2 linked regions of the Oryzias latipes genome follow. The protein of the gene in region 2 interacts with the protein of the main gene of each other region in a pairwise test. Links are inferred from orthologs where the notes say so. Each region holds a gene or a part of one and is shown on either strand. Other genes may lie near its edges. The genes, in order: znf830 and aqr.

What was found.
Region 1: the proteins of aqr (region 2) and znf830 interact in a two-hybrid assay, tested with the Homo sapiens proteins (2 studies listed by BioGRID and IntAct, with this or other methods). The link is inferred for Oryzias latipes from reciprocal best matches to the Homo sapiens genes AQR and ZNF830.

What each region holds. Positions count from the first base shown.
Region 1 is NC_019875.2:26,990,738-27,002,677, reverse strand, and holds znf830 (zinc finger protein 830), read left to right. Parts: upstream 1-7,001; 5' UTR 7,002-7,056; coding exon 7,057-8,031; 3' UTR 8,032-8,198; downstream 8,199-11,940. Other genes in the region: ankyrin repeat domain-containing protein 13C-like, read right to left, coding at 1,786-1,884, 2,048-2,127, 2,203-2,364, 2,541-2,672, 2,751-2,895, 3,043-3,109, 3,308-3,353, 3,463-3,548 and 3 more; efcab14 (EF-hand calcium-binding domain-containing protein 14), read right to left, coding at 9,294-9,472, 9,589-9,714, 9,801-9,894.
Region 2 is NC_019880.2:7,467,934-7,481,192, reverse strand, and holds the start of aqr (intron-binding protein aquarius), read right to left. Parts: upstream 7,229-13,259; 5' UTR 7,098-7,228; intron 6,656-7,097; coding exon 6,569-6,655; intron 6,456-6,568; coding exon 6,399-6,455; intron 5,522-6,398; coding exon 5,481-5,521; intron 5,399-5,480; coding exon 5,363-5,398; intron 5,248-5,362; coding exon 5,127-5,247; intron 5,039-5,126; coding exon 4,898-5,038; intron 4,272-4,897; coding exon 4,203-4,271; intron 4,026-4,202; coding exon 3,925-4,025; intron 3,822-3,924; coding exon 3,745-3,821; intron 2,791-3,744; coding exon 2,726-2,790; intron 969-2,725; coding exon 852-968; intron 773-851; coding exon 659-772; intron 418-658; coding exon 314-417; intron 1-313. Other genes in the region: dph6 (diphthine--ammonia ligase), read right to left, coding at 12,326-12,444.

The sequences.
Region 1 (11,940 bases), on a different chromosome or scaffold from region 2:
GAACCCCAGAAAGCCGTCTAAGGTTCAGACTTTCTTTGTTTTTGACACCTATCTGGAAATAAAGCTTCACAAAACGCTCCACATCTTTCATCTTCAAGCATTGCTTCGATAAACAGACAACTTTTCTGTCATTTATTTATGACTTTTATCTTGTAAAGTTTGTTTGGAAACTGGCCATAAAACTCAGTCATACTTTAGAAACCCAAGAGAAAGTCAAATAAATGAAGGAATTGTTAAAACAGTTTTCTCACATGAAACTGGAATTCTGAGTCAGAGAGAATTTCAAACCGGCAGAACTGGTCAGACATCATCAGAATGATTCCTCTAACTCCAGCATCGGCTGGCTTTTTGCACAATTTAGACTTTCAGCCGAACAAAATGCATTTAACAAAATGCAAAAACGGAATCATGACATTAAAAAGCCATTAGCTATAGTAAAGAATGGAGTTTTAATGTGCTCTCCATTAAGATTCACTTAGTAAGAAAATGAAAGAATTCACTGGAAAAACCTGTTTTTGCATCATCTGCTCATTTTAAGATGCATATATCTTTAAAAAAAAAGCCTTATTTGTTTATCTCCTATAAACTCTCAAGAGGATTTGAAAACAAACTTTTTTACTGAAATAAAATCACCAGATTCTTTCTGATGCTGCATTTTGCTGAACTGTAGGGAGCAGAGTTTGGTCTGCTGTGGATCTCACACTTTGAATAGCAGGAAAACGGAGAATAACTCAACTTTTTCCATAGGAACCAGATCCAAAACATGCACTGGTTTTTCTTTTTTTTGTCATTGTTGTTGTTGTTATGTGTGTTTGTGTGTGTGTGTGTGTGTGTGTGTGTGTGGGGGGGGGGGGGGGGGTTGCTGGGGCATTCCTTTGGAAGCACCCCGTTTCTCTCGGAAAAAGAGGAGCTTAATCTCAATGGGATAAACTGAAATATTGAGGATTTAATGCAAAGATAATTTGACTAATAATAAAGAAATAATAAAGCTTCCTTTCTATAATACACATTTGACAATATTTCATCTTTGGGATAAAATTGTTGGAAATTAACATTTTTTTAACAGTTTTCAACTGTAGGGAAAAGTTTAATTTAAAAACATCCTGTGCTTTTAAAGTTCATTTACTGTTAAACGGATATATTTTTTAAATCATTAATAGGCTCATTTCATCTTCATATTTTGTATTTTTGTAGTTGTCCTGCAGCTTTACGGAGACATTTGTAATGTTTCTCAAAGTTACAGTGACCATCGCAATATCTCGGTTCATCTTCCGTCGTCTCTGTGATTTATTTGAGGCAAATTTGTGAGCTTTTTAATTCAAATCCTTTACGGTGGATTTTTTCTGCATCCTGATTGGCTGCAGACGTGGCCACTCAATCTCTGCATGGCGTCTCCCTGGAGAGAATGTGTTCAGTTTGCCAAATAGACGTAAATATTAGATCGCGAGTTTTTTCTTAAAACTAAGTGTAAAAACTGTAAATAAAGAGGAATAGTCAGATTTCACCTATTTATTGCAGGTTCCTATTAAAACGTCATTCCTGCAGTAAACGAGGTTCCACTAACTGTGAGAGATAAAATGTAAAAAAGAATCCAGGTCAGCAAAACGTGTAATAATCTGTCTCAGAGACACTTAAAGAAATAAGTCCGTATTTTTAACATACCAGGCATAATCTATAATAACTCCCATATATTATTAAGTGATTTTTTTTTTATTAAAAGTGTATGTGTGCAGGATCAAACACACACTACCTTTGCAGTGATTTAAGGCGGAAGGAAGTGCTTACGATTCAATGCCTAAAGGAAAATCCTGACTCATGGCTACGGTGGCTTTGAAGTTCTTCTTGCTCTCCTTACACACAAGTTCCCGACCCAGATGAGGAGGCCTTCAGATGGGAGAACACATGCACACACGCGCACACACACACACACGACATAAAGAGGGAGATTACACCCAAAGCACTTACAGAAATTACCTTGTAGATCTCATGAAAAAACAGGTCAATTATGTGGAGCTAATGCAATCACAGAAAAACACAAGCGCCTCACTTTCCGTGCTCTGCCGTTATGTACTCTTCCCAAGAAATGGTGTTGGGGGTTGGAGCTGTGAGGGACTTCCTCCTCACAGGCTGACGATAGAAGCAAAACAAGATTCAGCGCCATGAGCAACAACATGGTCTGTCGCAGGGAAACAGAAGAAGCACCTCAAAGTTCTGTTCACTGATGCCGCCTCCTTTACTCAAACTCTCCATGATGGCTTTGTTCCTCAATATGTCCTCCTCGCTTAAATGTTCTCGTCGCTTTCTGGACTCCAGCACCAGGCCGTTCACTGAATAGAAGTCAGCCAGGAAGTTTCCCACCCTCTCCTGCGAAAACAGACGGTAAAAGCTGGCGTCTAAAATAACACTTGAGGATGAAACTCTAAAATGGTGGTTAAATGAGGAGGGTTTGTTCTCAGAAAAAGAGGATTTCTTTTTATCTTTGCATTTGTGCGTTTTAAAGATGCTAAATCTGCTCAGGGGGGTGTCAGCACCAGCTTTACCGTTTTGTCCTCTCTGAACAGCCAGCCAATCTGACTGCGAGAGAAAGTGATGGACTTGGTTGACAGGGTTGCAGAGTAGACGTCACTGCTCATCAAAATGTCCACCTCCTCCTCAGTTTCCATCTCCGACTCCTTGTGGGAAACAAAAATGTTGGAATCACTCGTGAAAGCCACAGAATGTGCTCTGGTGGGGTTGTGCCATCCACTGACCTCATGGTGTACTCTTTGGTAAACGTTTGCTTTGTTGTCCAAAACCACAAAGGACTGAGAAGGTACAGCATCGCCGTTGAAAATGAAGCTCAGATCTCCACGCTGGCACTTCATGTCATTAAAATCTACGAGGGTGGTGTCAAGTCTAAATCAGGAAAGAGGAGAACCAACTCAGAATGTAAAGTTTGTTACGTCCTACTTTTTAGATCTAAAAGAAGTTCTTGGCCTGGATATCAACTCTTTTCTGAAGTGTCCCACAGGTACGCTGGTCTTTATCTGGTTGGCGTCTAACCTGATATTAATGCCCTGCTTGTAGATTTTACAGGCATCTGATGGCAGCATCCGGGACAGCAGAGGGACTACAACAGACAAGAATTGGATACATTAGTTTGTGGAAGAAAAATAGGACAAAAAACATTGCTAATTACAAGAGAACTTACAATCTTTATTGCTAGTTTTGTTCATCTTGTTAACTGATCAAACTGAGTCTTAAAAATGTATATGCAGTATAGTATGAGAACTTAATACTAATGAAATAAAATAAAATATAAACTCACCCCAACTCTGAAAGTCCCAATGAAGCTCCAGATAAAAGTCACCAAGCTGGAAAAAAAGTGATAAAAATGCTAAATGTATTTTGTTTAATGTCAGCAGTCAGATTTCTGTGATGCAGGTTAATACATGAAGCTCCAGCCAGAACAGAAACACTCACCTCTCTGAGAGCTTTCAGTAATTTTGGCCGCTTATCTTCCACACTCTCCCTGGACTGCTGCTTTAACTTCCTCAGCACTGCAGTAACTGGAAATGGCAACAAAAATGACTTAGCGCAGAATCAAACTTTCAGCCCCATCATGAGTGTTTAAAATAAACGGGAACGACTGATTGACAAAGATCCTACTGAAAGAACAATACAAACAAAATCAAGGTCATGGAAATTCATACAGAAATTCTCTTGTTAAATTTAGGTTTTAGTGTAGAATTTTTACCAAATTAAAACTTCACTGTTCACAATTTTTCTGTGGTCTAAACACAAACAAATTATTTACCACTATGTCATCATAGGTAATCACCTAAGAAAAGATGAAATCATTTGTAACCCTTGTGCTATCCTAGGCACTTTAATGTTGGGAGTTGGGTCATCTAGACCCACTACAGTGCGCTGAACCTTTTTTCTTCAATGATTTGTGATCTTCACTGGTGTCCATGGATTACATGAAATCTTCCACCTTTATCCACCTTTGTCATGGTAGGGAGAACACGTCAATGGAAGGGTGGGGTCATCTAAGATAGCACAAGGGTTAATCAAATCAAATGTAATATATTGGCACAAAGTCCGGCAATGACTGAATCAGCAGATGGGAATAACTGGTTCAAAAGTCCCATCTCTCTATATATAAATAAGAAAGAGCTAACCAGTGACCCTTCAATGATAGACCAGATGAACCAAGTCAGCACTTCTGAGTATATCCCAGTAATCTCAGAAATGCTGCAATGAGGATGGATGTGGCTAAGAGGGGCAGTGCTGACAAGGCTCCAGGATGTAATAGTTTCACACACATACAAACAGCAACTGAGCTGCTGACACAAGGCGCCCAGGCGATGACAGATGACAAGATTGCAGAGTTTTGAGAACTGCTAGGAGAAGAAAACAAAGGTGTGCTTTCTAGAGCAAACCTTGCTTTAACTGAACGGTACCTGCTGTTGATGCTATTTAGGTTAAAGTCCAAACACCCTGCTGTGTCAGTGGAGTTTGACTTTCAGTGTCCTTGCTGAACATTTGAATGTAGTCAGCTCCTTTTCCACCTGCTTCTCTAAGCTGTGACCTCCTCAAAGCTCCCGAGTCCCTCTCCCTGACCAGTCTGTCATGACATGCAAAGATAACCGAAGCGCAGGGTACCAGAGGTCACGCTCATTGATTTACTACACTAGAGACCCTGAGAAATGAAAAAAGAGGGAGCTTTTTCTTTAAAAACTGACTTTTTTTATTAAGTTGGTTCAAAAATGGGGCTGCACTGAATTTAAAGAAGTCCTATTCTGATGTGGAGCAGTAAAGATCTTATAAGCTAAGCTCTTTTTAATATCATAAGCTGTGGCAGATGCTGATATCCAGATCATCTGGATGGCGAGTTCGTGGAAAATCCCGACCTTCAGCTTTCGAGTTGAACCCACACGGCAGCTGCTAGTTGATCAGTCATAGAAATGTCCTCTGAACACTAATAGTTTTACCTTTGACTCAAGCAGTAGGTTCAACATTTACAGGCTGTTTCCTTCTAAAAGAGTTTGTCAGCAAAATAGAACATTTTAGAACATATGATTTAACTTTCAACAACTAAAATGCTAAAAAATGTAGAAAAATGTAACATTTTCCAAACAAAACATAACAGAAAAAACAAATCGGGCTGAATCTGTTAAATAATTATACAGATAGAATAGAAGGAGGACTTGGTTTGTTCTGATTGCTTACTCATCTGCCTGTCACCATAGCTGATAGCTTCCGCCAGAGGACTCCATCCCTGTGCGTTCTTTACTTTCACAGGTGCATTATGGGCCAGGAGAAGGAGAGCACACTCTGAAAGATTACAAATAAAGGAAACCAGTGAGTAAAGTTGAACTGACACAGTAGGGGGAGGTGTTTTTAAAGAACCATATTTTTACTTGGGACATTTACAAGGTTTTTTAGGCAATACAAAGCCATTTTTAGGGTGCTATAAATGCATTTTTACTATGGAAGAAGTTATTTTCCTATTGTCAGAATATGCGTTTGATTCAAAAAATCAAATTGATGCATACCATTATATAATCGTTTCAAATTAAATGTAGTCAATTAAAATCCATGTTGGATGGAGGCACTGTAGGTTTGTTTTACTAGAACGTAAAAATGACCAAGTGCATCACAGCACATGTGATGGCAGCAAAAAATGATCAAGCCATCATTCCAGTCCAATGTGTGGAAACACTTTGAACTTTGCAAAGACATGTGACCACAACATTATGCCACATTTTTGGTTATAGATGTTCTCGGTCGATTTGGTGTCAATGAATCGGATCAAACTGGATCCTTCAAACTGAAACAATATCAATAAATTGTAACCCCAGCCACAAATTATGAAATCAATCAAATCATTGTTAAAATGAGTTGTTACACCACTATAAATAATTAACTAGATTTTTTTTTATAACATAATCCTCTGGAATTAGATTGACAGATTACCAGGGTAAAGGGAAAAGGCTCCAAATAATTTCTGCTATTGTTATTCAAGCTTACCTTTATGTCCCATCATCACAGCCAGGTGAAGAGGTGTGTTTCCTGAAAAGACAGACAATTTTCCCTTTTTTAATAGACACAAAAGATTGCATTTAAAAACAAAACTAAGGATAAACATGAATAGGAATTAAGTATATTAAAACCTACCATGCACATCCTTCTGAATGATGCTGTGTGTCCTAATGAGGGAGGAGAGTCGACGCACGTCTCCTTTGAACACGCACTCGTGCACAGGAAACTGCAATTCCTCGTTGGTCAGGATAATAGGATTCTTGTTTTTATCAACGCATGCGTTGTCGTTGATGTTGTTTGCATTGAGATGCTGATGCTGCTTCAGCAACGAGCTTTCGATGGATTTCTGGAGAGCCTTATTTATCTTGAAATTGTTGCTGGTACCTTTAGGGTTGGTTTCGTTAGAGGTTTCGTCATAAATGTCCCTTATCTCTTCATTTTTGTTAAGCTTGCTGTTGTGGTCTTTCCGCACTGACCGTAGTTTTTCACCTGTCATGATGATGATGAAGAACGGGGGATTGCTAGCCTTGAACTCGACGGTGTATCGGTGACGTTAATTTGTCCGCAAAGCAGCATTAGCGAATTAAATAAAAAGTGAAATCAAATAAACCGCCAATACTTTCAAGTTAACTATATATTTTTGTCATTTAAAATTATTTCTAAACGTTAGACGGTGGCTTTCCGGTTAGCTTGCTAAGTCACAATAAAAAAAATACTGTATGATTATGATGGGTGCGGCTATGATACTGAAATTGATGCTGAACATAAAAGAACACTGTAAATAAACAAAAACAACGCAGAAAGCTACATCGTTTTTCCTTGTATCATCTTTTGTACTTACTTTTGAAAAATTACGGCGGCTGCGAATTATGAGCGTTTGCAGGAATAAACGGACGGCTACAGCTCATGCTAGGTTCTCTCGTATCGCGAGATTTCACGGTAGTTCAAACGAACGACGGTGCTACGTCATTTTAATGAGACGGGCTGTTGCTGATTAGCTAGTAGCTCGCTGGCTAACAACAAACTCTTATGATGGCGACTTCAAAAAAGGGGAAAAAGGTGGTAAATCAAGAAGAACTCCGGCGGTTGATGAGGGAGAAACAAAGACAAACCGCTGACAAGAAGCGCGTGGAGTCTCCGTTCGCCAAATACAACAGTCTGGGACATCTGAGCTGCACGCTCTGTAGTGTGCAGGTGAAGTCCGATCTACTGTGGCCGGCTCATGTCCTCGGTAAACAACACAAGGATAACGTTGCAGAGCTAAAAGGAGCAAAAACGACACCAGCGCCGAGTCAAACACCGAAGAGAAAAGCCCCTGACACCGAAGCAGTTACCGCAAAAAAGGCGAAGCCCGCGTCGGTTGCAAGTCAGTCTACATCCGATGCTTCTGAGAAACCTCTCACCACCCAACAGTCTGCGGGTCTGAGTCTGCTAGCCGGTGTTTATGACGACGAGGATGCCAACGCTGAGTCTGAGGCACCTGCTCAGGGAGCGGACGGAGGCCTTCCAGCCGACTTCTTTGACAGTTCCATCCCATCCACACCCGCCATCTCTCACTCCGGATCCGTCCTGAAAGCCGAAACGAAGGAAAAGCCCCCCGAGAAGAAAGAAAACACATCGGAGGTGCTGCCCGAGGGCTTCTTCGACGACCCAGTAAGGGATGCCAAAGTGCGCAATGTGGATGCTCCCAAGGATCATATGGACAAAGAGTGGGAAGAATTCCAGAAAGAAATTCGCCAAGTGAACACAAAATCCGAGGCCATCGTTGCGGAGGACGATGAAGAGGGGCGTCTGGAGCGCCAGATAGACGAGATCGACGAGCAAATCGAGTGTTACAAAAGGGTGGAACTGCTGCGGGACAAGAGAGATGCTGTGAAAAGCAAAGCTCTGCCCAAAAAAGACAAACCAAAAGAAATACAGGAAGACGTAGACGATGAGGATGATGAAGAGGAATTGTTGGGACTTTTGACCCAGGACTGGAGGGCCAAAGGGGCTCTTGCTTGAGTTTCATAAATGCATCACTTCTTGTGTCCAACTCAACTCAAAACAATTATTTTGTACAAAAAATGCTGTCAACTCAAGAGATTTATAACTAACTTTCCTTTTTGTCCGGTCTAGAATGGGTTTTGAAAACTGCAAATCACAAGTAAAATGGATTATTCAAAGGAGAACAGCGTTTTCTCTGTCTTTTGTCAAAACTATTGCGACCAAAAACAAACCTTAAACATTCTTTTATTGGTGCTCAAACACAAAACATTCATAAAATCTCCCATGTACAGTAGCAGCATGAACTCGTCAGTTATCACGGAAAAAACATTACACACTTTAAAATTTCCAAATGTTTCATGTCACACAAGAAGCAACATGCAAAGTAAAATACAAATGATTAAACTTTCAATTTAACTCATTTTACAAGGGAATATACATTTTTACAAAGCTCAAAAGGAACCAGGATAGTTTTGTATTCAAACGCCTAACAGGTGATGGTCAGTGCTTCTTATACTACCTGTTACTGCAAGTTAGGTGTGCTTTCTGCCTAAACTACATTTTTATTGCTTAATCTGCCTCACACGGATGCACCTCAAAGATTCAAAGCGAGTATAGCCCTTCAAATATGAAACAGGAAAAAGTACAAAGAGAAGGACGCAGACTAAATACTTGATCCCAGTTGTAACTTAGGAAAATATGCATGTCACATCTTAAGAAAGAGCATAAAAGTTCATATTTAAGATCAACAAGGAAAAGGTATAAAAACACCAGAGGTCTGACAAAAACTGTGTTTCTAGTAGTCATTTGTAAACATTCAAAATACAGATCTAAAGATTCAGGTTAGCAGGACCGCATAGTTGTGTGAATAGGTGAGGAGCATCTCCATAAACTGGCAGTTATGTTCTATCCTACTATAGAAAAACACTAAATCATTACATCCAGATGACAAAAACAGGAGTACATGGATAAAAGTCGGACACTGAAGGTGGAAAAATGGACTCCAGGCATCTCTAAAAATAAGCAGAATTCGATTAAACAAGAAGCAGACATGACTTCCTAACACTACAGTTAAATATTTGGTAATGTTTTGTGGTGGATGAAAAGATAAAATGGAACTTAGGATAGAAGGATTGAGCAGATCAGCACTGCCCCCCCCCCATTCAGCATGACAAAAATCCAATTCACAAAATAAAATGCAGCAACTTCAGAAAAAAAAACTTGCAGCCCTCCAGACCTGTCTGGGTTTCAATACTGTTCACTGCTGATAGAATGTGTGCTTAAAAACCCACGGCCACTCTCAGCTCTGTCAGGGAATACATCTTGTCCCCGTTGCTGTCGAAGCACTCCATGGTGCGTTCGCTGGGAGCCGACGTCTGCAACACTTCCTTCAGGTCGTTGTAGGTAAGACCGGGAGAATGAGGCTCTGCAGCGGCTCGCTCAAACAGGTCTTCTAAATCTATGAACAAAACAACAAAACTTTATGTGAAATGCAACACTTATTGGATTACCACCTTAGGGCTGAGGTGGTCTAGGAAGTACTTTATTTAAACCTGTAAGATGGGGTAGTTTTACCTTTCAGAGAACTGACACCTCGCAGGGACACCCTCCTTGAACATTTTACCCCCGCATTCCTCTTGTGCCGGGGTACAGTTAAAAAGCGAGGCCGTCTGCTCGTCGTCAGCAGTGGTGAAGCGGACTCTATTGAATGAAAAAAGAAAAAACATTACAGTGAATCAGTGAAAATACAGTTTACGGTTAGTAGAAACTGATCAGTATTACTGTACCAGGAGATGCTGTGGTTGTAGGAGCATCCTTTAGCATCCTGTTGTCTGAAGGTTGGCTAAATTCTGGTGAAGTTTCTGTTCCATTATTCTGCACCTAAGAAAAAAAAAACAGTAAAATTTTAGGTATTTGGAATAAACAAAATAAAAATAGACAAGCATTACACACAATAGCTTAACTCTAACTGTTGGACTTTAGCATAAAGGTGTTTTACACCCAGAATGATATTGAGTTTGTGGGAGAACCTGATGGCAGTTTGTGCCAATTGAGCAGCAAAAGCTTTAAAAACAACCCGTATTTTGGTTTTAATAAACAGAAAACCCTGTAAATGAATTAATATGATATAGAACAATCAATTTATCAAGGTGAAAACAAAATATCGGTACGAAATAGGGCTGCACGATATGAGGAAAACTTGCAATTTACTATATTAATGATCAATATTACAATGACGATGTAACTTGGGATACATAAACAAATCGCAAAACTACCAAAAACATCATTTCCATTTTACTGCAACAGTTTAATTTAAATAAGAGTCAACATAAATTAAATTATAATCCACATGACCCTCGTCTACATAGGAGGCAAACATCTAACATAAAATGGCTCCATCTGATTGGTCAAATGCATAAAGGCATTTATTTGATTAGTTAAATACTTCAAGCAACCATAAGATTGTTTTAGAACATTTAAGATAACCATTTATCGCAATTTTCACTGACTTTTACAAAATGCTTATTGCACAGCTTGATATTGCGATAACGATAAGTTTACGATTTATGGTGCAGGCCTAGTACAAAAGTAAAACGAGGCCATCTTTAGGTACAGATGTCCTGATCCGATCATGTGATCAAAAATCTGGCCTGAATTTGATCACATATTTTCAGACTCAATTGGAATCAGATGTTGTATCTCGATCAGGTCGGCGCATAACGGCAGCCCACAAACAAGCTACAATCCAAACTCTACAAAAGTTTAGTGGCTCATTTAAAAAAACAAAACAAATGAAACTCTTGGTAACCCATTGGAACCTGTCTAATATATCAAAACAAGCACTACAAAAAATTCCTAGGAAGTTCCTAGTTCAAAGCTAAAACTTAACAAATAGCTCAACAAATCTTCATGCCAAAACATGATAAAAACGTTTTTATGGAGTGCAGTAACAACATGCACATTTTTCTTTGTTTATTAGTCTTCTGTCAAAGAAACCATGTTCGGGGTAACAAGAGTATCAAACGTTGACATACTGAATGCGATCCATAAGCTAAGCAGCACATTTGCATCCCTTGAGAAGGAAATCTGTAAAAGCTCTGTGGATATTGTAATCCTCGTGGAAACTATGGTAGACTTAGATCATCAGGCTAAAAATGTTGTCAATATGTTATAATGTGCTTCATCTTTCACAGATTTATTTCAGTTCAATGTACATGCTTTTTTTTTTTTAACTGCATCCTGTTCGGTCCTAATTGGCTGTAGACAAGTGTCAGTCAATCTCACTCATGCTGTACAGAATGCGTTCAGTTTCCAAATTTACATAAATCTGCACATCTTTAGTTTATTCTATAATACTAGACTTCGTTTGAACTTTGAGAGTTTACGCAAGCAAGAGAGAAGAGTCCCAAAATATCAGACACAAGTGTATAAAGTGTGTAGTGAGGAGTTTTACAGCCTTAAATTTTGATTATGATCATTGTTAAAAAAAATCAAGTTGACTACTTCACGAATTTGACCCGTCGCAGGTTATTTTTAGAATGCAACTCCTGCGATAAAAGAGGGATCACTGTACATTCTGATCTAAGCACAGGAGACACAGCCAGGAGATTCTTCGCTCCCACAGATCTGCCTCCCCAGAAAGTGAAGGGATCTCTTTGAGGAGAGTCTCCTACATTTGCTAAAGCTTATCTTTGGTCGTCCTGCTTTAGGGCTTGGATTTAACCTCAGGTCTGTTTAGTTTGGTAACTGGGGACTGTTTAAAAATAATATTAACAGAGAATTGATTAGATTGTTAAAGATGTGATATCTGATGTTTTTACTTGTTTCCTTTCTCTTTAAAGATCCTTAAAAAACTGGTCGCAATAAATTAACTCAATAAAAACTTTGCATTGTGGATTTTGGTCCCATCCTTTCAGGCACAGAGAT
Region 2 (13,259 bases):
CTTGGCGGGGGTCTTGGTGTGGAGATGACTAGGCACTCTCCCTCTCTTTTTCACCACTTTTTTCATCCACCCCAGAAGAACATAAACACCGTCTGAGCACAGGTGTTAGCTCACTTTGCACAAATAGTTTGCGTGACTGAATGACATGTTTTACATGTGTTTGGTCAAATGAAATAAGGCTTGTCATGTTAAAGCATTTAGATCACTTCTTGCAGTCATTATCGAAGTAGCTCACAAAAAAAAAAAACACTCCAGAGTGAACAAACTGACATTTGTTTGATATTTGTTTGTCCCAACAGTTTTGTTTACCTACCTAAGATGGCCAAAGTGTTTGGTCAAGGTTTCCCGAGTGTCCACTGCTGCTACGTTGGACATCGCAAAGTCATTCAGCTCTGGAAAATGAGAAAAGGCTGCTCTCTGCAAGATGAAAAAAAGAATTATTGGTGCATATATATATAAACATATATTAACTTGTGTCAATTTCAAGCACTACGTGATTTCTTTCACAATCCTCTCAGTCAGATTGGGTTCTGTCATTTCCAGGGATTTTTCAATACATTTAAAACCTGACAAAAAAACTGGATGTCCAAAAAAAAAGCCCACAGCTAACAGAGGGCTGATAGAAACTCTGCTGATCTCTGATTAAGTCGCTGTTTACCTGCAGAGAAGTGATCTTGTCATAGTGCAACGTGGTCATTTCTTTCTGCGTAAGAGCATTTCCTGTCTGATCATTGATCTCAAAACCAGAGTAAAACTTTAGCATGTCGAGAAGCTGAAAAGAACAAATAACACCAATTAGGATTTCTTCACGGAGAAAACAGGTTTTCAAAGTCACTAAAAGCTTGTTTTACCTGACAAAAGAGGTGGCCCTCCGTTTCTCTTTTAAGGAGGCCAGAGAGTTGGCAGCTGACCACAAGATGAGAGTCGTCCAGCATTGTGTTGAACCATCGTCTGGTGGGCAGCAGCGCCTGGAAACACAGGGAGGCCATAGCATTTGTACTTTTGAGCAGACATGAACGAATGCTTTTGTAAGAAAGAAAGCCATTTAAAAAACTAATTAATTGCATTTTCACCAACATTTTAAACAGGAAGGGTAAAACAAAGCAACTGACTTAACAATTACCAAGTTTTTCAGCAAGTCAACCCCATTTATGAGAGGAAAACACAGCACATCATAGTAAATTTAAAAAGAATCAGCCAGATTCCCAACCGAAAGATATACATTTCAGCTTCATGATTCAAAACTGCCTTTTAAAGACAGCAGCTGCAGCGCCTGCATCCCTAACTATAAATCAAATAATTCAATATCTATAAGCCACCTTTGAGTGTAACCCTTCGGACGGAATAGGATCCTTTTCCCTGCAATCATATTTAGATTCTCGTCAGAATGGGAAGTATGGATTTCTTGCGATTGAGGCTTTGTGAAAGGATAGTGCTGAAGGACATGAAAAGTCTCTGGAGACAGTAGGCTAGCTGACCACAAGCTGCTGGCAGGAACTGCAAGGCTAACCTGTCAGCAAAGAGCCAGATGAAATCTATTGAGCGTCTGTGTTAGACAGATTTGATCTGCTAAGGCAGCAGAAATGATCGTCTTGTGGCACAACATGTCTTCACAACAACCTCATTTGAAGGCTTGACTGTTCTCCATTCCCGTCTTTTTTTAACACAACTTTATATCTTTATTTTAAGACTGTCGGCACGATTTTGCTAAATGTAAAACACTGATATCTACAATTATTCATTTCCAACAAATTAAAAAGATACACACAACAATCACTAACCTAAAAATGACGTATCCCCATAACTTCCTGTTTGAGGCAGATATAAAACATAAACTAACTTCATCCTGGTGGAGTAACTAATCCCTATAGGAGGTTTTGAACCAGTAGGTCAGTTCTCATTCACTCTTAATGACTAACAGTCTTGCACCATTATTGTTTTTTTATCTCTATGGATAGGTTTAACATAGATGTAAACTTTAATAGGGGCAAATTTGTCATAGGCTAATCATTTGGTATCATTTTCACATTCAAAACACAATCAAACATGGATAATATCTCTTTACAACAGTCGTTCTTGGTGTGCTCCAATAGCCTTTTGGCTTGGTTCTCCCATTTAGTCACCGATTAGAGGAAAGGTTGTGTTTTACTGAGATATATCCTCCCAAAATGGTGACAAAACCAAAGACTGACTTCATACCCAATGGGTTATGTTTCATGTTTTCTTTCATTGACAGTCGTTGGTCAGAAACAAAAGTTTGATTTGACAGAAAAGAACTCACCATCAGAACATTTTGCGCCTTTCTGACTGTAGATCTTTTTAGGGGAATGGCTAGGAGCTAAAAAAATCTTTCAAAATAAATGATTATCTTATATTCTTGCTAATATGAATTCAAACTAAAACTTGAATTAATTAACTTTTATTTCTAAATAGAACTAGGCAATAAACCAAAGCCCATTTCCCCAGACATTGCCCTCAGTAGGAGCTGGAATTTGACATTTATCAAACACCCTGTGACAAAAATTTGATTAGAGTGAAATTAAAAGGTAAACGATGATTAAATTCTAAAACACCTGTACTAACACCATAGTAATGACGTATTACTTTGTTCATGACTGATTCTAGACATAATGTCAGTGGACATGATCTCAGTTTTTACATATAAACTTTAGTTGAGTGAAAACCAAGAGTGGGATGTAAAGTTCAAATTAAAAATCTGTCTTACCTCCAAATCAATTATGAGCTCAATGAATCTTTCACAATAATGGACTTTGTCCATTGACAGAGGCCCTGTGGTAAACAGACATGAAAAAGATTTTACTTCAGATACACAATGTTGTTCATTTAAAGTGCGAAACATGAGTAATAGACTGTCCCAAAATGTCAGGAAGCTAGATGGTAACATTTCCAAAAAATCTGAAGCCAGCAAACATGAAGAAAACACCAACCTGCCTTGCTAAGTGGATGAGCTCTCACAATGAGAGGCTGCACGGCCAGCTCAGCAGCATGCTGGGAGCTCAGCCCTCATTAAGCATTCCTGTTCCTCTCTGTGTGTCTCTGTGTGTGCGCACTTAACGTGGAGACATACAGCAAGCCAATAGAGTGATGCTGACCCTGCTGGGTTTTTGCTTGTAATCAAGAGTGTCAGGTTGAATTTTATCTAAACACTCAGTTTTTAGCATTCTGATGGGGGGGACTCGTGTGTCGGCCTGTATCACGGCATCACGGCCAGCGCATTTAACTGTATAGAAGCTGGAGTGCATGTTTCTTAAGCTGCTGCACGACTCAAAGCAAGGCGACAAAATTATAAGAAAAAGTAGACATTAGCTGAGTGGCCTGGAGGTAAAGTGTCTGCCCGAAGGCTAGAAGATCGAGGGTTTGAGTTCCCGGTCATGCCATATCAAAGATGGTAACAATGGGACTCAATCCCACCTTAAGCATTAACTCAGCATTAGTTGGTTGGATTGGGGGATTAAACTGCCAAAATGTTTCCCTCACCAGTACCCCAGTGCAGAAAAAAAGTGCATACACCCAGTTGTGTGAGTTTTTGGAATGCAATACTACATTTAGTTTGGATATCAAGGTAATGGTAAATACAGGAATAAAGCTGAAAAAATCACATAAACACCTAAATCTGAATTGAAGTGCTGAACTAATATTTTCCAAGGACTTTTTTATTTAATTTTCCATCTTCCATTTGTGCATTTATGCTTTTTCCCCCCCAAACCAAACACATTTATTTACCTGTTGGTGGAACTGACATGAGAACGCCGAGAAACTTTTTAATGAGAGCTGAGAGAAAGGTCCTTTCTTTGATTGCCCTGGAGAAGATACAAAAAAATCAGAATTATCAAAATACAAACAATAAAGAGCAAACTTAAATTGGCGTAGATTTGATTCAAAACACCCAAAAAACAGGCTTACTGCTTAGCCGCATCAGCATCCATCTGGTCAAATTTCTTCTTGATTAGATTCCAGAACTTTTGCAGCTTTGGGACTTTTTTCAGCTCCTGCTGCAGCCTAGACTGCAAATATGATGCAAAAAAATGTAAGAATCCAATTTTTTGGAGAATTAGTAAACAGGGAAGAAGTCAGTGTTAAACAATAAATACACACAAGACAATATTATTTGAAAGAACACAAGATTGGGATGTGGAATGACAACCAGAACATAGGGCGGTAACTAGAAAATGTGAGCTTACTGGTAAGAGGCACATCCACATTGGCAGGGAGACGAGCTGCTGTACCTGTTCTCTGATCAAATCAACCTCCTGCATAGAACAAGAAGAAAGATGAAATGCAGTCATGGGATTTTTCCAAAAGCACAGCATGTGACAAATTTTAATGCACCTCAGCCCCTAATAAAAGTCTGAACTAAATTATTTACAAGCTTTTATGGCATACAATCAAAGGGCAGCAGGCTATCGCAGCAGATTTTAAATTGAGACGTGTGTTTCTTTGAGGTCTGATGCAGCTGTTAAGGATACAAACGACCTGCCAAGAGAAGCACTGCACGGGCTACCACTGCCACCTAGAGGGCATTCCAAACAATTACAGAAAATTGCACATAAAGTATTATTTTAAAAGGATATTTTTGAAATGTCAAAGGATATGGCTTTTTTTAAATAAATGCATGCAGCCTGTTTATTATCTTAGCTTGTTATTTATTTTAAAATGTTTTAATTATTTTATGTAATTATTTATGTACGTTTATACATTTAAATGTAAATTCAACGTTTGTGCCTTTTTGTTGTTAATTGTAAAGCCCTTTGAGCTGCTCAAAGCATGAAAAGCATTTTTTAAAATAAAGTTTAATACTTGAATGACTGGAAGCATCCAATACTCTCATCCCCGACACCTTTTTTTTCCTAAAACGTTTGGTTAATGCAGTACAAACCAGGCTGTTGAAGCAGTGATCCAGGAAAACCAGGAGAACAGTTTGTTCCTTCAGACAGAGTCCAGCATCATCGCCTGTCAACACAGCTTCCATCACGCATTTGAAGAAGAAGGGGAAGTGGCTGGGCTTCTTCTTAAACACCTTACAAACATTATTAACAAAAAAATAACAAAGGAAATTAGAATACATGACTCAGCCTTTTATTAAAAGCAAAAATAACCTTGCTTACCTCCCATGCTGGAACATTTTCTCTAAACTTCTCATTGACAATGCAACAAATGGACATCATAAAAGCTTTGCTGGACACATCTGGTGTGTAATTCACCCAAAGGTAGTTCTCAAGGTATTGGCTGAAATAGAAAAGGGACAAAATATGAAACCAAACAAAACTGTTGACAGTTCAAAATTGTAATATCCTTTTTTCCCTGCTGCAATTTTAGAAGAAATCAAATGGAAATTCCTCACCTGAATTCAAGCAGCATAATTTTTCTGATAGAAAATCTGTGAACAATTAAAAAATATGTTAAGGAAAAAGATTGTTCAGCATTTCAAAGACAGATAAGAGGAAAAAGTATAGACTTACTTGGACTGCACAATTTCCTTTTCGTAGACATCCTCCATCACCTAAAAACAAAAACAGAAAAAAATCCATAACCGATATGTCAGAGTAAATTTATAAGTCACAAACAAGAAAAAAAAAACAAAAATATTTCTCTTGTATTTTGTGCAGACACAACTACTGTCTCAATTCAACCCACAAAGTTAACTGCATCAAAAGTCCTTTTGATCAGTGTTTGTTCGGTAAAATTTATCAATAAAAACCTGTTCAAACCAGATCAAATATTTTCCCATTGTGGAATTATTGAACAGCTCCAGGAACAACTATTAAAGCAAAGCACTGACCTATCCCAAAACCTCTTATATCCCAAAGTAACATTAAATGAAATGGACCAATGCAATCTACAAAGTTTGCACAGTGAAATTGACAAAATATTACACATCTAGTGCCAAGCCAGTGCAGAACAAATCAAGATTCCTCAGGTTTATGCTAGACAGTTAACACTGCTTTGGCAATGTGAGTTTCTTCTTATATTTTGTCTGACCTTCAAGTGTTTAATTTCTGCTATTGTTGCTACATTGTCCAAAGTCTTTACAATGCACTTGGAATACTTCATTGAGAAGAAAAGACAAATAGCTGAAGGACGGATCAGCTACTGAGACTATTCAGAGTAAAAATAAAAATCAGTTAATGTCCACTGAAAAAAGTCCAAATTAAAAGATGAAAAAATAATTCTGATTAAGCTATTGTATGCAAATACTGAAACTCTTTCCCCTCTCTGCTTCTGTGCCGGTCCCAAGCCCGGTTGCTTTGAGAGGGTTGCGTCAGGAAGGGCATCCGGCGTAAAACATTGCCAAGTTTACCATGCGACTCGTTCGCTGTGGTGACCCCTGATGGGAAAAGCCGAAAGGGAAACATGCAAATACTGAAACTCTGATTTACCTTGGGGTCAAACGGTAGCTTATTTTTAGCTTGAGGGGCCCAATACTTATTAGCCAACTGGAAATATAAATGAGAAAATTTAATCAGCCTTAAAAATCAAACATGTGAGAGTGGTATAATTATTCAAACGTATCTTTGCAGTACATATGAAATGTGCTTCTGTTGCTTACCTGGGTGACATATTCTGCATTTATCTGAGACACTGAAGGCGCTGCAGCCTTCTTAGCAGCGGGTTCTTTCTCCGTAGTAGTCGCCATCTACGAGACGACATCCACAGTAAACAACAGAGATCGATGACACATCAAAAGCAGCAAGATAATAAAAGGTATAAGTAAACGCCAATCCGATTAAGGTTAAGATTGTGGCTACTAATATAAGATAGCAAACGAAATGGACAAACGTAAAACTTAAAGAGAACACTAACTGAGCTTTGAAGAAATATGCACTTCTAAAGAAAAAAAAAAGGCCGTTAGAAATCTTTTGTGGAAAAAAAGGTGTATGGAGGGCAAGACTCGGAAACATTATGGCAACTTCCTTTGCGATTGGCTTCGTACTTTTGTTTTGCCAAACGCCAACAGATAGAAACGTTAGCTTTCCCCACAATATGCTAGGCTACTACTTAGCGGCGTAAACAAACTTATTTCAGATATAAAACTTGTACATATGTTGTCACCTGAGAAATAAGACAAATGAACTAACCTCAACAGTTAATTACTTTGACATAAACGTGGTGAAAAAACGACGCCTTGTACAACAAGCGTGTACACAACAACGCGCCGATTACCACTAACTTCCTGAATGGGTACGTCTCTGTCATTGTCCCCTGGAACAGCGACAAGCACAGGGTTCCGCATATACATTTCTCAACTTTTAATGGCTCAAATGTTTTGGGGGCCAAGATTCGTCTTAATTATCGGATTATTTTTCCAATACTGCAGAGTTAGGTCGAAACACCAGTTTTAGGCATATATTTTATGTTTTGTAACAAATTGAGCTACAGCACCTCTCTAAACAGGCTCATATGCCTCTTAGCAGCTTTGAACAGTTTTACCCATTATTTCCACAACATTTTTTCTTTCAGGTTATTTGTTTAACTTTTGGTTGTTTATTTTATTTAAATGATTTTTTTCATTAGTAGCCAATTTTATATTTAATTTATTTTTATTTAAATATTTTTTAACGTTTTTGTCTGTATGTTCTTTAGACTTATCTGTATGTCTTTGGAGCTGTTTGCATTAGGGAAGCTGGTTTGGGTGGTTGGGGGCATCCATGCTGATTTATTGAGACTTTCAGGATAGATAGATACTTTTATTGTCATGGTCACTCATACAACAGAATTTAATTAGGTGTACATAGGAGACGAGGTGGGAGAATTGGAATGGCTTTATAAAAAAAATGTTTTCAAATCTGTTGAGCAGTTGTGTATTTTTTTTTATTCAAAACAAAAAGAAAACATTTTATATATTCAAAAGGGCCCTTTAAATAAATTGATTCTTTTGATCCACAGTTTTTAGCTGCCTCAAAGGTGTTTAACATTTTGAGATGATTGTTGAGTGTTTAATCCAGTTAAAAGTGCTTCAAAATTCTTCTCTTTTCTTTCTCTTTGTATTAGCAGTTATGATGATAGATAATATATTGATAATGGAATACCTGTTGGTTTTAGTCAAAACATGTCTCCAACAGCAATATTTAATCTAAAATAATGAATAAAGGACAATTAAAATACCCCAAAACAGCTTTATTCAAAACAAAAGAATGAAAATGATAAGCTTTGCATACATTAGAGGCATATTTGACTGTTTCACAGTGTAAGATGTCAACTGTCAAACATGGAAGTGTAAGTGTAATGGCATATGGCTATTTTGCTGAATTCAGGGTTGGTGAATTTGGTCTTTGCAACAACGTCTGGTATGCACTTTGTTGGTAAGAGGCTCAACCTACAAGAAGTGAATACCCCAAACAGTCTAAAATATGCCATAGCTAAAGAACAAGACGGTAACCTTTAAAACATGGAGTAAAACACCTCCAGATTGGAATCCCATTGAGATTAAAAAAGAGCATTTAGGCTACCAACATTAGCTTCCTTTATAAATTAAATTAATATAGACGCAGATGCTTTATGGTATACAAACCGATTCCAGGATTTGTTTTATAATTCCAGTTGCTCAGTTGTAATACACTTTCATTTCAGACACTGACAACTTTCCAGTCAAGACCTTGATACACTGAAGTGTTCTATCAGTTGACTGGTTGTGTTGTCCCCCCACTTTTTTTGGTGTTGCTCACTCTTGTAATTTAGAACTTAGACTTTCAGAATCCCATCATACCCAACATAATTTAAAAAAAAAAAACATTTGCAAATGGACATTTTCATTTTTTGCTTTTACACTGATATGGACAAATTAACTTATATAAATGAAGCTTTTTTTTCTTGGTATAATCATTAAATTTATAATTCTCAAAATTCTAGCATCACTTGCAAGATGCTGTTCAAGACAAGTCTGCAGCTCTCAAAATGTTCTGTTGAAACGCTTTTCAGTTCCCATCTCTTTCCTTTATTTGGTGGAAAGGTTTAAAACTGTATACAGTTTTTTTCCCTGTTGCATTTCTTATTGACTTACACGGTGTGAACAAATTTTTAAAAACCTTTGATCAGAAAATTACAGCAGTGACTAAAGTGTTTAAATTGGCAAAAAAGAATGTTGTTCTTACAGATACAATGGATAGTTATTTATTTATTTTACATGTGAGAAAGAACTTTATTTGCTTGTGGTAAAGATGTGGCAGTTTGAAGAAGGGTCATGTTGATAATGTATATTCCAGAAAAATAAGCAGGTTTATGTTCAAACCCAGACTAGGTTAAGTCAAACTCTGACAGAAATGTTTCTAGTGGGTCTCACACTTCTGCTTCAGTTGGCAGTCAAACTTGACAGAAGGATCTAAGATCAAAGGTTAGACCAATGCTACTAAAAACATTAAACAGTTAATGTTTGCAAATGATTTAGTATTTTAGGAAATGTATTTAAGTTTTCCAATCTATTCTAGAGCATATTACGTAAGTTTGGAAAATTACTATACATGAAGTTATAGATAATGTTATAGTTATGTATGTGCTTTACGTTAAAAGTACATTTTAATTATAAACTGCCTATCCCTCCTCCCCTGCATACTCTCGTCTCAAAGGCCAAAAAAAATAGTCTAAGATTAAACTAAGAATCATTCATATCTTAGAACTAGCTTTGCAGAACCGCCAACCAAATCTTGGCCGCTGTTTTTACTTATATATTTTTTAATTTTTTTGGTTGTTCTTGCTAAAAAAAAAAAAAAAAAAAAGTCAAATTAACTTTCAAAGCCCAAAAGAAAATTGCCCTTGGGTTCACTTTGGTTAAACATGATTTTATTATCTGCAAAAATTGGACTATTATTGACATGTTTTGGTGAAAATATACATTTTTTGCCTGTCTGAGACAAAATGTAGGAGTTTGTTTTTTCTTTTTTGTCTGATTGGTGGTATTTAAAAAAAGCTATGCTCTTTGGCACATGAATAAACTGTTTCTTAAATACAATAAGTGTCAGATAATTGTTATTTTTAAATTAACAATTAATTTCAAGCACAAAAAAGTTTCTACTTTGAAATAGGATAACAATATATCATCTTATAAACTAAATAAGTAGTTTTTAAGATGAGTGGCAATAACGCTTTGCCAAGTGATTTGAGATGAAAGGTCTAAAAACTGGTTTTGAGATATTTAAAAAAAAAAAGTAAAATTCAGGTTTGTTTTGAAAAATCTTAGAGAACATGTTAAGACATTCAAGCCAAGGAAAAACTGCTGTACTTCGATTGACCACAAGAGGGGAGCACACACCACTGAACAGCATTTGTGACCGTCCCTTCAGCAAATGGAGAAAGTTTGATAAAGTCAATGCTGTGACTATAAACATGCATGCTTTCACAATCGTTCATGTGATGGAAACAAAGCATTACACAACAAAAAGAATGTCAAGACAGAAACAAACAAACTAAACCACAATGACTGAGTCAAGAAGACCACGATGTGAGGAGACGCCTCATGTGGTGAGGCTGGGCTCCCCCACTCTGAAGCCCACTGCTATGAGGAAACCGAGTCACAGACATCAGCAAGGTTTGCCTGGAGGAAGAAACACACTGTTTAAAGTCCATGTGCAAGGCCACGATGACAAGGGCCGTGGGCTGGTAGGGACAAGAACAGTATTAGCCAAAACACAGTGCTTCTTTGTGCAGTGGTTGCAGGTCAGCATGGCAGAAAATGTACATTTGACAAAATGCACGAGAAAAATAAATGTCACCCTGTCTTTGCTCATTTTATGATGAAGCGCTGTGGCGAGGATACAAAGAAATGTGCCTGCCATAGGCCATCACGATGTTTAAGACAAGGCTGTGAAAGTACACTTGTGGGTTTGCCAGAGTGTGTTTTAAAAACAAGCATGCTGAAAGACAGAGCATTATGTTTAGTGTTTGATGGATAAGTGGTGGCCATGCAGTGGAATCTAGCTATTGTGCAAAATTAAACCAAAGACATTGTCTTTGTGACATTGTCACAAAGACAAACAGATCAACAAATCATAGAGAACATGTTAAAAATTCATCTTCAAAAAGCACTATTTTTATTTATTTATTTATTTTAGAAATAATCAGGATATAGTAGAAAAAAGGTTTACAGTCTTAACAGGAATTATGCTAATGATCCACAGTTTGAGTATTTTCAAATTAAATTGTAGCTAAATTGACCTGACCAATGTGAAAAGAGTGCACAAATGGAAAACTCAAGGTAGAAAACATAGAAAGAAAATGTGATCTTGAAGTGGTTCTTTTTAGCTGTGTCGCTCAGAAACTCTCACTTTGTAAAGAGTCTTTACAACTTAACAGCTCAACATTAACACACTGTATGTTTATGGGGAATTGGATTGCGCCCTCATAAATAATTGCTTGTTTGTATTTTTCAACCCCCCGATACACATCTTCAGGCTCCGTTGGCTACCACCATTGTTCAATTTTTGATGACAACAATCAAAACAACAATGTGTAGGGTGGAGATCAATAGTCCACTTCAAAAGGGCGGCAAAGAGAAAAGCTGGGGTGAAGATGCATCCCAACTCCAACTATCAATACGGTTCATGATCTCTGAGAAAAGAAATGTTGCAGAAGCGATGGTTAATGGAGGTATTTTCTTGCAACATCGTCACACTGTTCCCAATGACTATCCCCCTTTAATACTTGCTCACTCATAGAAAAAAAACTTGCCCTGCAGCCATGTGTGCTAGTGTCCTTCTTCTATTAACCAGGCTGCCTTAGAATCAATAGAAAACATAAAAAGGTCTAATCTTTTCAGGTACTTGGCACTGATTGCCTATTACACAATAATAACACACCAAGGGCTCTATGAAGCATGAGAAGGAATCCCACTCACATCCTCTGAACATATAACGCACAGCTCCAAACCAGTCTCACAGTAAATCTCTAGGTTTACAACCCAACTGATGGCGTCAGAGATGGTGGCTCAGCCTGTACAAAGGATGCAGGTTAAGAAAGATTCCACCACAAACAGCGGGGTATCAGGGTGTGCTGCCTGGTGGAGTGAGGAACTGCTGGAGTCTTCCTTTGCAGAGGAAAGTTCTGTGGTATGCAGATGTTCCAAAAGTCTTCTCTGTGAGCTGAAGGGACAGCTGCTGTGGGAGATTAAAGAGTTTCTTGTTGGTATAAAACCCTTCGATCTAAAACGGAATAAAATGGAATAAATACATCTAAACAACTTGGATACATGTGTACTTTCAATTTTAACCAATTAAAAGCGGCAAGCGGGTCACATTAATAGGTGGTGCTTATTTTCTGGTCCCCTTAGATCTTCTGGTAGGCAGATCAAGTATGTCCGTTCACTTCAACTTTGTTTCTATGAACTGAACCAGCCAGACAGGTGGAGGATCTTGGAGTCGGGAAAGTCCAGGACAGGGACCAAAGCCACCGACGGACTGGACTCTAACAAGGAGCTTTTCAAGCTTTCTTCAAGTCCTATGGAAGGAAAGAGACAAAATCTGTTAATCTTGTGAGATTAATCTTGTGAGATTTCGAGCTTTAGTCAACATTTGGTACTTGTGTGGGTGTCCCAGTGGGGCTGTCCCAGTGCTGTGGACACACCTAACCCTTCAGCCAGACACAAAAGGCTTATTTTCAATTTATTGGCATGCTCAACTAGATTGCAGCCTCTTACCCCCCCCCACGTCTAATTCAGCTTCCCGCAGTGCTGACATATGGTCAGAAAGGACTGAACGCCAGACTACCCGTCTCAATTTTGTACACAGAGCCACGCATGACTTAACTCACACATACAAACATAAAAAAGGAGCAACCGAGCAGCTTGTTGGGAGTCTCCGGTGTAATAGATCCTCTGCCCCTGTTGAGTTGGGATGTTATGAAGCTGTGCTGGGACCACCAGCTGACACATACTGTTAGTATGTGTGTGTGAGGCTAGACTAGTGGACTTGGGAGAATCCATCGAGTGTCTCAGAGCTGTGCCTGATGACAGCCTGTCTGTTTAGCAACAGCCAGCTGGGCGGTGGGCATTCTCTCTTGTGATCTGTACATTAATTGGTCACAAGTCATGTGTCTTAGGGTTGACAGTTTGGCCTCATATCATCTGTATTAATGGCGTGCTGGACGGAAAGTGGGTGTGGTCAAAATGAACTGGCATTGTCGTAATAAATCCTGGAGAGCACCACTGTTCCACTACGGCCATTGGAAGTGTCAACCTAAATACATTCAGGGTGACATCTGTCTAAACTAATTTCTGTCAAAGCATCATTCCTCTGTGGTTTTTCTGGTAGACA